Linked DNA regions of Xenopus tropicalis. The main gene of each other region encodes a partner of the protein of the gene in region 2 in a complex. Links are inferred from orthologs where the notes say so. Each region holds a gene or a part of one and is shown on either strand. Other genes may lie near its edges.

The links. Proteins that work in one complex are often made in the same cells at the same time.
Region 1: the proteins of pawr (region 2) and spsb1 are in contact, whole or in part, in a crystal structure (PDB 2JK9), measured with the Homo sapiens proteins. The link is inferred for Xenopus tropicalis from reciprocal best matches to the Homo sapiens genes PAWR and SPSB1. Residues at the interface, in NP_001341661.1 of Homo sapiens: Glu68, Leu69, Asn70, Asn71, Asn72, Leu73, Pro74; in NP_079382.2 of Homo sapiens: Arg77, His78, Pro79, Val80, Ala81, Gln82, Gly110, Thr111, Tyr129, Val216, Trp217, Gly218.

Annotation. Positions count from the first base shown.
Region 1 is NC_030683.2:89,874,831-89,879,900, forward strand, and holds part of spsb1 (SPRY domain-containing SOCS box protein 1), read left to right. Parts: intron 1-84; 5' UTR 85-206; coding exon 207-900; intron 901-3,757; coding exon 3,758-3,885; 3' UTR 3,886-5,070. UniProt on the Homo sapiens protein: Substrate recognition component of a SCF-like ECS (Elongin BC-CUL2/5-SOCS-box protein) E3 ubiquitin-protein ligase complex which mediates the ubiquitination and subsequent proteasomal degradation of target proteins.
Region 2 is NC_030679.2:62,530,661-62,535,730, reverse strand, and holds part of pawr (PRKC apoptosis WT1 regulator protein), read left to right. Parts: intron 1-932; exon of another isoform or gene 933-981; 5' UTR 982-1,042; coding exon 1,043-1,579; intron 1,580-5,070. UniProt on the Homo sapiens protein: Pro-apoptotic protein capable of selectively inducing apoptosis in cancer cells, sensitizing the cells to diverse apoptotic stimuli and causing regression of tumors in animal models.

The sequences.
Region 1 (5,070 bases), on a different chromosome or scaffold from region 2:
CATCATAACATGTTTTTTTCTGCCTTGTGATTTATTGTGAACAATTTTAAGACTGACCTATGTCACCTTCTCTTCCTGCTCTAGGTGAAGTGGTAAAACTGAACTGAGTTCTCTGTTGCTTCAGTTCCTTGGAAGGAGGGAAACGTGAAGGCTGGCCAGCTGAATGACCTTGTTGTTGGCTCCTTAAAGTGAAATCGGTTTGTATCATGGGTCAGAAAGTCACAGGAGGTATAAAGACAGTAGATATGAGGGACCCTGCATATAGACCACTAAAGCAAGATCTACAAGGGCTTGATTACTGTAAGCCTGCAAGACTCGACCTTTTATTAGATATGCCTCCAGTGTCCCATGAAGTACAGCTTCAGCACTCCTGGAATAACAATGATCGCTCGCTAAATGTGTTTGTGAAGGAGGATGACAAACTTGTCTTTCACCGGCATCCGGTGGCACAGAGCACAGATGCTATTCGTGGCAAAATTGGTTACACACGTGGCTTGCATGTTTGGGAGATTACCTGGGTTATGCGGCAGCGAGGGACTCATGCTGTTGTTGGAGTAGCTACAGCAGATGCACCTCTACATTCTGTTGGCTATACAACACTTATAGGCAGTAATGGCAAATCTTGGGGCTGGGACCTGGGCAGGAATAAACTATATCATGATGGGAAAAATCAGCCAAGTAGAACATACCCTGCGTTTCTGGAGCCTGATGAAACATTTATTGTCCCAGATTCCTTCTTGGTGGTACTTGATATGGACGATGGCACACTTAGCTTTGTTGTGGATGGACAATACATGGGAATAGCTTTTCGAGGACTAAAGGGAAAAAAACTTTATCCTGTTGTAAGTGCAGTGTGGGGTCACTGTGAAATAAAGATGCGATACTTAAATGGACTTGACCGTAAGTACACATTTAATATCACACTTAATATACCAGTTTGCTTGAAGGCCTGTGATTTTTCAGCTGTCTTTGAATTCTTGCTTAGTTATATCTACATTTTGAACAGTGTACCCTTGCACGAATATTCTGAACCTACATTCACACCTAGGGGCACATTTACTAATCCTCGAATCCCGAATGGGGAAAAAAGGATTGGAAACGAAAATTTTGCGATTTTTTTTTTTTTTTTTTTTTTTCGTCCCCTTCACGATTTTGTATTTGTCGCGACTTTATTGTATTTTGCGCAATTATTTCGTCGACGTCGCAATGTTTTCGTATTGCGCTATAGTAAACGGCAGAAAAACCAATCTGAATTTTTCACGACGGCAACAAAAGTCGCGGAAAATATACAATAAAGTCGTAACGGCGACTAAAAAAATTGCAAAAATACCGATCATTACGAAAAAACCGCTTTCGGACATTCGTGGATTAGTAAATGTGCCCCCTAGTGTTGATAAATTATCCCATTGCATATTGTGAAATTTAGCTGCCCTTTTATGTACATCACTTCTACTCATGTAGAAATTGGATTATTTAGCAAATTATGAATGGAGCATACCCACTTTGCCAATACCCATTATTTTATTTAACAGGAATAGTTAAAAGGGTGACTTTAATATTTGTCTACAATTTTAATACCAGTGACATTGCCCATAGCAACCAAGCAGCAATTAAATTCTAAGGGGCAGATTTATCAAAACACGAGTTTCAGTCCTGAATGGGAAAAATTCGGATTGGAAACAAATATCTGAATATCGCAAATATCACGAAAATGCTTCTGAAAAAATTGTATTAGTCACAATAATATCGTATTGGCGATCCGAAAGTCACAAAATTATTCGTAGCAAATTATTGTAAACAGCGGCAAAACCGATCCGATTTTTTTTTTCACACTAAAAATACGAAAGTCGCGGAAAAAAGTGTTTGAACGCAGCGTTCGTGAATTAGTAAATGTGCCCCTAACTGTCACCTACAAGTAAGAAAACGATGGCAAAGATCTGATTGGTTGCTATGAGCAACATTGTCTCCAGTCTTAATACACCACTAAATGTGATTTGTTTTGCTCTCCCTTTCTCCTTGTTCTGATCTCCACCATCCTTCTCCTGTTTTATAATTTTTTTCAGTCTTGTCTGTTTTGCCTAATTCTCCTTTTCCATGCTTCCTGGATGGTGTATCATATACTGTATTTTATACCATGTGGAATACTGCAACGTAACTGCTGATTGCCCTTTCAGGCTTCCACCTCTCTCCCATTCAGTCTAGCTTGAACTCTGCTGCTAGAATCCTCATGTTCTCACCTAAAGGTGAAACCCCCCTCCTGTGTTAATCTTAATTATAGCTCCATGTTAAATGCGCAGTAACATCAATTTTACGTTATCACTTCTAAACAATTAGCATATATCCTAGATACTTGAATATAAGTGGATTTTAAATAAATAACATTATCATTGATTAGGCTCAGGCATCTCTACCAACTTTCGCTCACTGCAAGTTCAGCCAGTGCACTTCTATCACAGGCTTGCAAACACAGCAGGAGATTAGAAGGCCTCTGTCGCCCATCCCTCTCCGTGAACTGGCAAAAAAATCCATTAATCACTGGCAAGGCAGGCTCTGAAAGCGAAGGCGTTGCAGCAAACTTACCTTTACATCATAGATAATGTTTATTCAGTGCAGTTATAATCACAATTTCTGGGTTACTAAATATATAGAAGGGATAAACAGCACAGAATTGGTTAATACTTGTGACAGTAGTTATGTATACAGTAGAGCCACAATTTTAAGTTTCCCAGGCCATCACGTAAAAACATAAATTCCAGAAAACCGAACAGTTTGGCTTTGAATTTTGCCCCAATGATTAGGACAGCACTATTTTAGTGATATGGGTAAGTGAAAATTTCCTTCAAACTACAGAATAAAAATGTGGACTTGGTCACTGATCTGGCAGCTCTGACATTTTTTGTAAAGGCTACAGTTATATTACTTTAGGTTACCATACATTATACCACTGATCCCGCAACCAGTGGCTCAGGGGCAGGATGTTGCTTAAAGTAGGTGCTTTTTTAATTTCTGGCTTGGAGGCAAGTTTTTGAGACATAAAAAAAACAGGTGTATTGCCAAATAGCCTCCTGTAGGCTGGTGACAAAATAAGTCTATAAAGAGGGACAGCAGCAGAAAGAGCTTGACCTGTACGCAACCCATATTGTGTCGACCCCAACCTGCAGGTCCCGTCCATCTGATGTCTGCCCATAGGGGTTCCCCTTTCACAGACAGGCTGCCAAATTGGTCTGAAGGACACAAATTGGCAGCTTCAATTTGCCAGCGTCTCTTTTCTTTGTCACTCAAAATACAGTGGCTCCTTTTGGGTTGGCTTATGCCAGCCCAAAGCATGCCACCATCTGTTGCCTTCATTGAGGGCATAACTGGCTAGGTCACTAATGGCAGCAACTTGCCAGTTTAGAAGCACAACAGATATCCTGCAAGGCTTACATACCCTGTTTTGAAGCAGATGCACTAAGTGTTAATAAAATGATGCATTTATTTTGTAAGGTGTGACTTCAGGGGTGCTGCCTAACAACAATTTTTACTTTAGATGAGCTATATACATGCTAGCATACACTTTTTAACTTTTTTTTACTGTATGAAATAACCTGTGCATCCCTTACTAGTATTCAGACACAACACCGTATTTATGCATTCTTCAAAATTTGTTCCCCGAAACTTATTCAGTGCATTTAGTCTAAAAATGGTCATGACTTATTGTGAATGTGAATCTCTCATTAAAGTCCTGTCTATAACGGATTTTTTCCTTTTTCTGTAGCTGAACCACTTCCACTGATGGATCTGTGTCGAAGATCTGTTCGCCTTGCATTGGGAAAAGACAGACTGAACGAAATACAAGCTCTTCCACTACCGGCTGCACTTAAAGGCTACCTACTTTACCACTGACATATGCAGAGATCTTCTGCCTATAGTAATCTATACAGTGCTATGCATTCTGAGGCTACAATCCTTTGACCTACACTGCATCGATGTTGGATGTAGTGCTATCCCTCTGCGCTGCTCGAATGCATGCTACAGACTACCAGTACCTCCAAGTTTTTGCCCTGGAGTTTTTGGATTTCCTAACTGGGCGTTTTCTGTGAAGGATATTTAGTAATGCAACTGTGTTCTGCAGGCCTAACACAAGAACAGGGTTGCTTTTACATCTCTAAATGGGAAGTATATATCCTTTTCAGGGAAACCGTCCAAATTCTGCATTGTTTTTTATATGTACCTGTCTGATTTGTATGTCTGTCTAACAGTAGTTGTGCCTCTAAATATTAAGTTGGAGACTGTGGCAAAACAAGAATACCAGAAGGGCAGTTTTACTTTTAACAAAATGAGTTTTGTAAACACAAATCATGGATTTTTTTTTTCAAATGCTTTCTATAAATATATATATATTCAATTCTATGGAATTTTTGAAGCTTATTTATAAATGGGTGAAACTTAGAACTCACTGTTTGATCAATACACTTCTACAAATCCCATAGGAATGAATAGAAAGTTGGTGGGTTTTTATTAAGCTCTAAACTCGCGTTTTGATCGGCCCTATGTGTTCCATTTGACAACATTGGTGTTTCTCACCTTTCTCCCCAGAATGTATCTCCCAAATGTGTTTAAACAATTTAGAACCATGGCACCTATCGGCATTTTTTAACATAATAAAGGGTAAAAGCATGCTGGGAGTTGTAGTCCAGTTACACCTGATGTGAAAGTACCTTAGGAACTGACTTTAGCCAAAAAAGTCAAACTGTAAATAGAAAGCAATTGAAAAATGTGGTGTAGTGTTTAAACGACTATGTATTGGGCCTGTAAACTGAATCTTTTCCACCCAATACAGGGCTGGTGGTTCACTAGAGTATTTCCCATTCATTAACTTCTGTTTGCATTTAATCTTCATAGCGCAATAGGGTTCATGGAAGACCCCTGTGGTTGACTTTTGCCTAATTTAGATTTGTTCACTTTTTTCCTTTTGAAAGTCACTGAATTCCTGGAATGATCTCCAAATAAAGGGTACATACAGCATATGCCAGTTATTATAGCACCCAAATGTTTGTCTTAGAAGTTATGCCATAAGCTTTAGACTCG
Region 2 (5,070 bases):
TTACAATAGCCTGATATCCAGCTGTTAAAGGCATAGTTTACCTTTTAGTATGATATGTTATGTCCTATTCTTAGCAACCTTTAAATTGGATTTAATTTTTAATAGTTTTTGAGTTCTGTCTTTTTCCAGCTTGCATATGAGTGATATTGACCCTAGGAGTAAAAAAAACTATTGCTCTGGGATGCTTCAATTGCATTGGTACTTTGTATTGCTTATATCTCTCTTCAGCGACTCACCTATTCATCTTCCTTTCTCTCATTCAAACCACTTCCTGGTGGCTAGGGCAAATTTAGGAAGATGAACATCACACTTAAAGGGGTTGTTCACCTTTGGGTTAACTTTTATTATGATATAGAAAGTGAGATTCTCAGACAATTTGCAATTGGTCTTATTTTTTTATTTGTAGTTTTTTAATTATTTCAGGATTTGTTCTGCAATAATAATGAAGACCAGTTGAAATGTTGCTTATAACTGGCCATTCTATAACATACTAAAAGTTAACTTAAAGGTGAACCACCCCTTTAAACCTGTTATTTGTTCTATTATTTAATTATTTTTTTAAATATTACTAAACAATTACATTAATAACTAGGGCTACTTTCTTTTTTTCCAGTATAGCTAATTTCACTCTGCTTCTTTGCAGAGGCTGGAGCAGTCCTAATGCTTGCCACTGCTTATCAGGTGTCTAAAGAAAACTGAGAGGCACAGAGAATGTCTCATCAGTCAAGCAGTAGACCCACTCCCATTGGCATCTGAACATAGTAAGGGATGCTGTCTAACTTATGGTCTGCATAAAAAGACACAGAGTTCATCCCTTTAACTCTCCAGAGATATTATTATATTGTTGAAACGTAGCAGTTTTATTAAATGATTACTATGAGCAGGACAAAATAGCTGTTATTGACAGATGTGTTTTTTTTTTTCTCTTCAAGGTTACGTTCCCACAGATGCTTATATGTTTGTGCTCTTGTTTTCGTCAAGTGTCCATTTAATGTACTGAAGATTTGTGGACCTGTGTGATCATCATTGACTTGGAGACAACATGGCAAGTGGGGGATACAAGTCACACAACCCATCTTCCTCTAACACAACTGATTTCTTGGAGGAGTGGAAAGCCAAGAGAGAGAAGATGAGAGCCAAAATGCTTGCAAATGAGTTACTGATAGCAGCCACAGGAGGAGGAGGGGGAGGAGAATGTGGAGGCAATGACATTGTCAATAAAGCTAGCAGTGAGTTGAACAACAATGGTAACTGCAATGCAGCACCTACAAACAACCCAGTATCTGCAGCACCCTCAATCAATAAAGGTCCTGCAAATAAGAAGGCAGATGAGGATCCAATAGTTCCATCTACTGTGATGCAGCAAAAGAAAGTGCCTGGTCCTGTGCAAGATGGGGTATCTGCAGGAAACGTGCAGGATGAGTCCACCCCACCAGTTTCACAGGAAACTCACACAAAGGCAAAAGAAAAGAAGAGTTGCAGTGGACCTAGTGCCAGGAAGGGTAAGGGACAGATTGAGAAGAGAAAGCTTCGAGAAAAGAGGAGGTCTACAGGAGTGGTTAACATCCCCTCAGTAGAAGTAAGTTATTTTACTTAATGCAAAACTCTTTTGTGTTTTCATGTAAGGTAGCCATATAAAATTCAAAAGCAGTGAAGGGCTACATTGAGAGGGTTTTGATGTATGGAGGGCTACAAAAGTGCCTTTTACAATAACCAGTAGGTATGCACATTTTATTTTTTTAAAGTCTAATATAGTAGAACCTGATTTTACGCTAAATGGCCACGAAAAATAGTGTAAATTCTATAAAAACATTAAATCCAGGTACTTAAAATCAGGCTCTACTGTATTACACCAGAATACAGAGCTTACCTTTAAATAACAACTTGTTTTTATAAAAAACGTTTTTTTCTCCTATAAAATATAATGATATTAAACGATAACGGAGTGCTGTGGCCTTTATAAAGGAAATCAGCCAAAAACTACTGTTTAGTTAAATAACATACTTGGGAAATGAGAATTCCATTCAGAGCTTTTTGGCTATTGATTTTCTGGATCATAGTTCTCATACTCTTATTTATTTCTGTAATGGAGCTTTTAAAAAGTATTTCATTTTTACAGGTAATATTATTTGATAATAAAATACATACTGCAACACATTAAGCTTGATGGACATGTATCTTTTTTAACTGTATCTACTATGTAAATGTATACTGCTAACAACTACTTAAAGGGAAAGAAAGGCTAAGTCACTTGGGGATGCCAAAATGTTAGGCACCCCCAAGTGACTTTAATCGCCTACCTTTTAACCCTGGCTGGTGCCCCTGTTAGTAGAAAACAGCACCAGCCTGGGGTACCTGTAACGAGCGCTTCCTTCTTCCACGTTTCTTCTGCGGCGAAATCCCTGGGCCACTGTATGCGCATTAGAGTCAAAAGCGACTTTCTTGTTAAAGTTCGGCTTTTCACTGTACTGCGCATGCGCAATGCGCCAACACGGAAGACAGGATCGTTCGCAGCTACCCCGGGCTGGTGCTGTTCTCTCTTAACAGGGGCACCAGCCCAGGGTAAAAGGTAAGCGATTTAAGTCACTTGGGGGTGCCTAACATTTTGACACCACAAGTGACTTAGGCTTTCCTTTTCCTTTAAGATGGTGCCAAACAAACCATGTCTGCTTAAAAAACACATTTGCTTGAAGAGCCTTGATACAGAAAGAGCTACTAAATCCTTTAACGGATACTGCCATTTTGGACAGTTTTGAAAGTGAATTTAAATTTTTGCGGAGTCTATCACATAGCTGCTAATTTGTTTATGTTAATAAAAGACAGTGGGGGAGAAGGGGGACTGACCAGGGAGCAGGCCGCAGACTGTCAGTGTCTTTTTTTTTTTTCCAATATATAATTAAAGATCATAATGGCAAAGTGTCATTCAGAACAAGTCTGTACTTTTCCATTGGTGATTAGTTTTTCTTGTACCTTACATTTATCTGTGTGAGATTTCACACTCGGTTTATTATATAGATATCTGACGGACAGGCCCTTGGGTACTTAGTCTTCAAAAAAAAATGACAGTACGTTTTTTTTTTTTTATTAACCAAGAAACCTTGAGTGTACAGAGGCCACATGTGCCACCACATTTTATTTTTTTCTGTTGCTGTTATACCATCAGATCTTTTCCACCAAGGCCACACATATGTTTTTGCATTGTCTTTACAAAAAAAGTAATAACAAGTGAATACCTCCCAACGTTCCAGTTCCTAAAAACAAGGTGCTTCCTCCATGCCCTGATTCTTCTAGGATCATATTAGGCATACAGTTATCTACCTTAACACCAGTTCACTTTTCTGTAAATCCCACTCATTTGGGGGTCAGCAGTTAGGGACTTTCCAGCAAAAAATGGACCTTTTGGAGATATGCAAGTGCAGCATGAATTCAGTATGTTGATACTTGGAGCTATGTAGAAAATGCAGCAGCTATACATGTTTTAAAGAAATAAGGCGTTTATTGGTGCCTTGCTAGATCTGCAAGGTAAGGCTTTCTCGCTGTTTGTTCAAGTCTCTCTAAAGAGAGTAAGTATGCTTGTGTGGCATAGTGCCATACTCACTAAAAGTTTGAACTACACTTTGCACAATGCTTTTTATTACAGCATAAAGTCATCAGATAAAGGGGAACACATTTGAAATCAGACAGAATTTAAATACATGTACATTTGGTGGGAAAAACCCTGCATCCCTTTTCCTATGTGCATAGATCAGATTACCAGGGGCCCAGCTTACAACCATTGGCATTGTCACTGATAAGAACCCTTCACTCAATATTCCATTTTTTTTTGGAAAACGTGGAAGATTGCCCATAAAACCATGTTGATTCAAACAAATTATCGATTGCAGTATATTGCATAATGTGGCTTATTTGAAATCTTATTGATTTCCCAACTTGATTCACATCTCTAGTATTCAAGTCTTGTAGGCTGTAAGTGGGATTTGATTAGACATAACTCTGAATCAGTGCAATGAACTAGATCACATTCACAACCAAAAAAGGCAGATATGCATGTGGCCTTAGGCTGCATGTTATCAGGCTTGTTGTTGTATGCGTTTTATTGGTCCTGCATGTGGTTAGGCCAGCCCTCAGCCCATAATATTAACAACCCACAACTGCAGTCCAGGAGGTTATTGGTTATGCTCCACTCCAGCTGGGGATATAGATAAAGATGATTCACAGAAAATCTAAGAGGTCTTTTTGTAGTTCTAAATCTCACCCTCAGGTTTTTTAGACTGATGACTATCTTTCCTGCTTGAGGCGTTTTAGTACATCATTTACCTGTGTAAAGCTATGGCACCAGAAGAGAGGCCAATTAGTCCTTTCAGTTGCATCAAGCCTGCTCAGTTTCATATCTTTATAAAGAAGAAATGTGGCACCCTTCCTTTTGCATTGTCTGTTTGTTGCAACTGAAAACACCGTCCATCTTAAAGACCTTCTATTTTATTTAGCTTCTGGAGATCACCTTTCTAGGCCAGACTGTTTCTCTGGAGTTTGGGGAAAAAGTTCATTGAGGTTTGCCCATAATTCCTCCTTATTGGGGTGTACAGACGAATGTGTACGTAAGGTTATATAAAACATTTGTTTTCTTTGTGTTCTTAAGACCCCCATGCTCATCTCATTTGTAGTTAAGATGTTCTTTCCCATATGAAAGGAATGCAAGTTGATTCCTCATTAAAATAAAATGCTTGTTTTCTTCTTGTTAACTGAATAGTAAATACCATTGTAAGTATTTTAATTATATCCTCATTTAAGATATTTTTTTAGGATTGTGGTCAAGAAAGCAGAAACTAAATTTGGTTCAAAACTTTTTTATTGTTGCTAAATTAGCTTCACTGTACCCTCTCACTCTGCTCACATGCCTCATTGTGCAATCCACTTATAATTAATAAAGGACAGTGTGTGCCGGTGAAAGAGAGGGAGAAAGATTTTCTGATTGCTCTAATGGACCAAGTCTGCATTTTTTCTTTAATTATACTGCCTGGCCTAGTATTTAAGGGGCATCTGCCAGGCTTCTCTTTCTCAGTGTTTCAC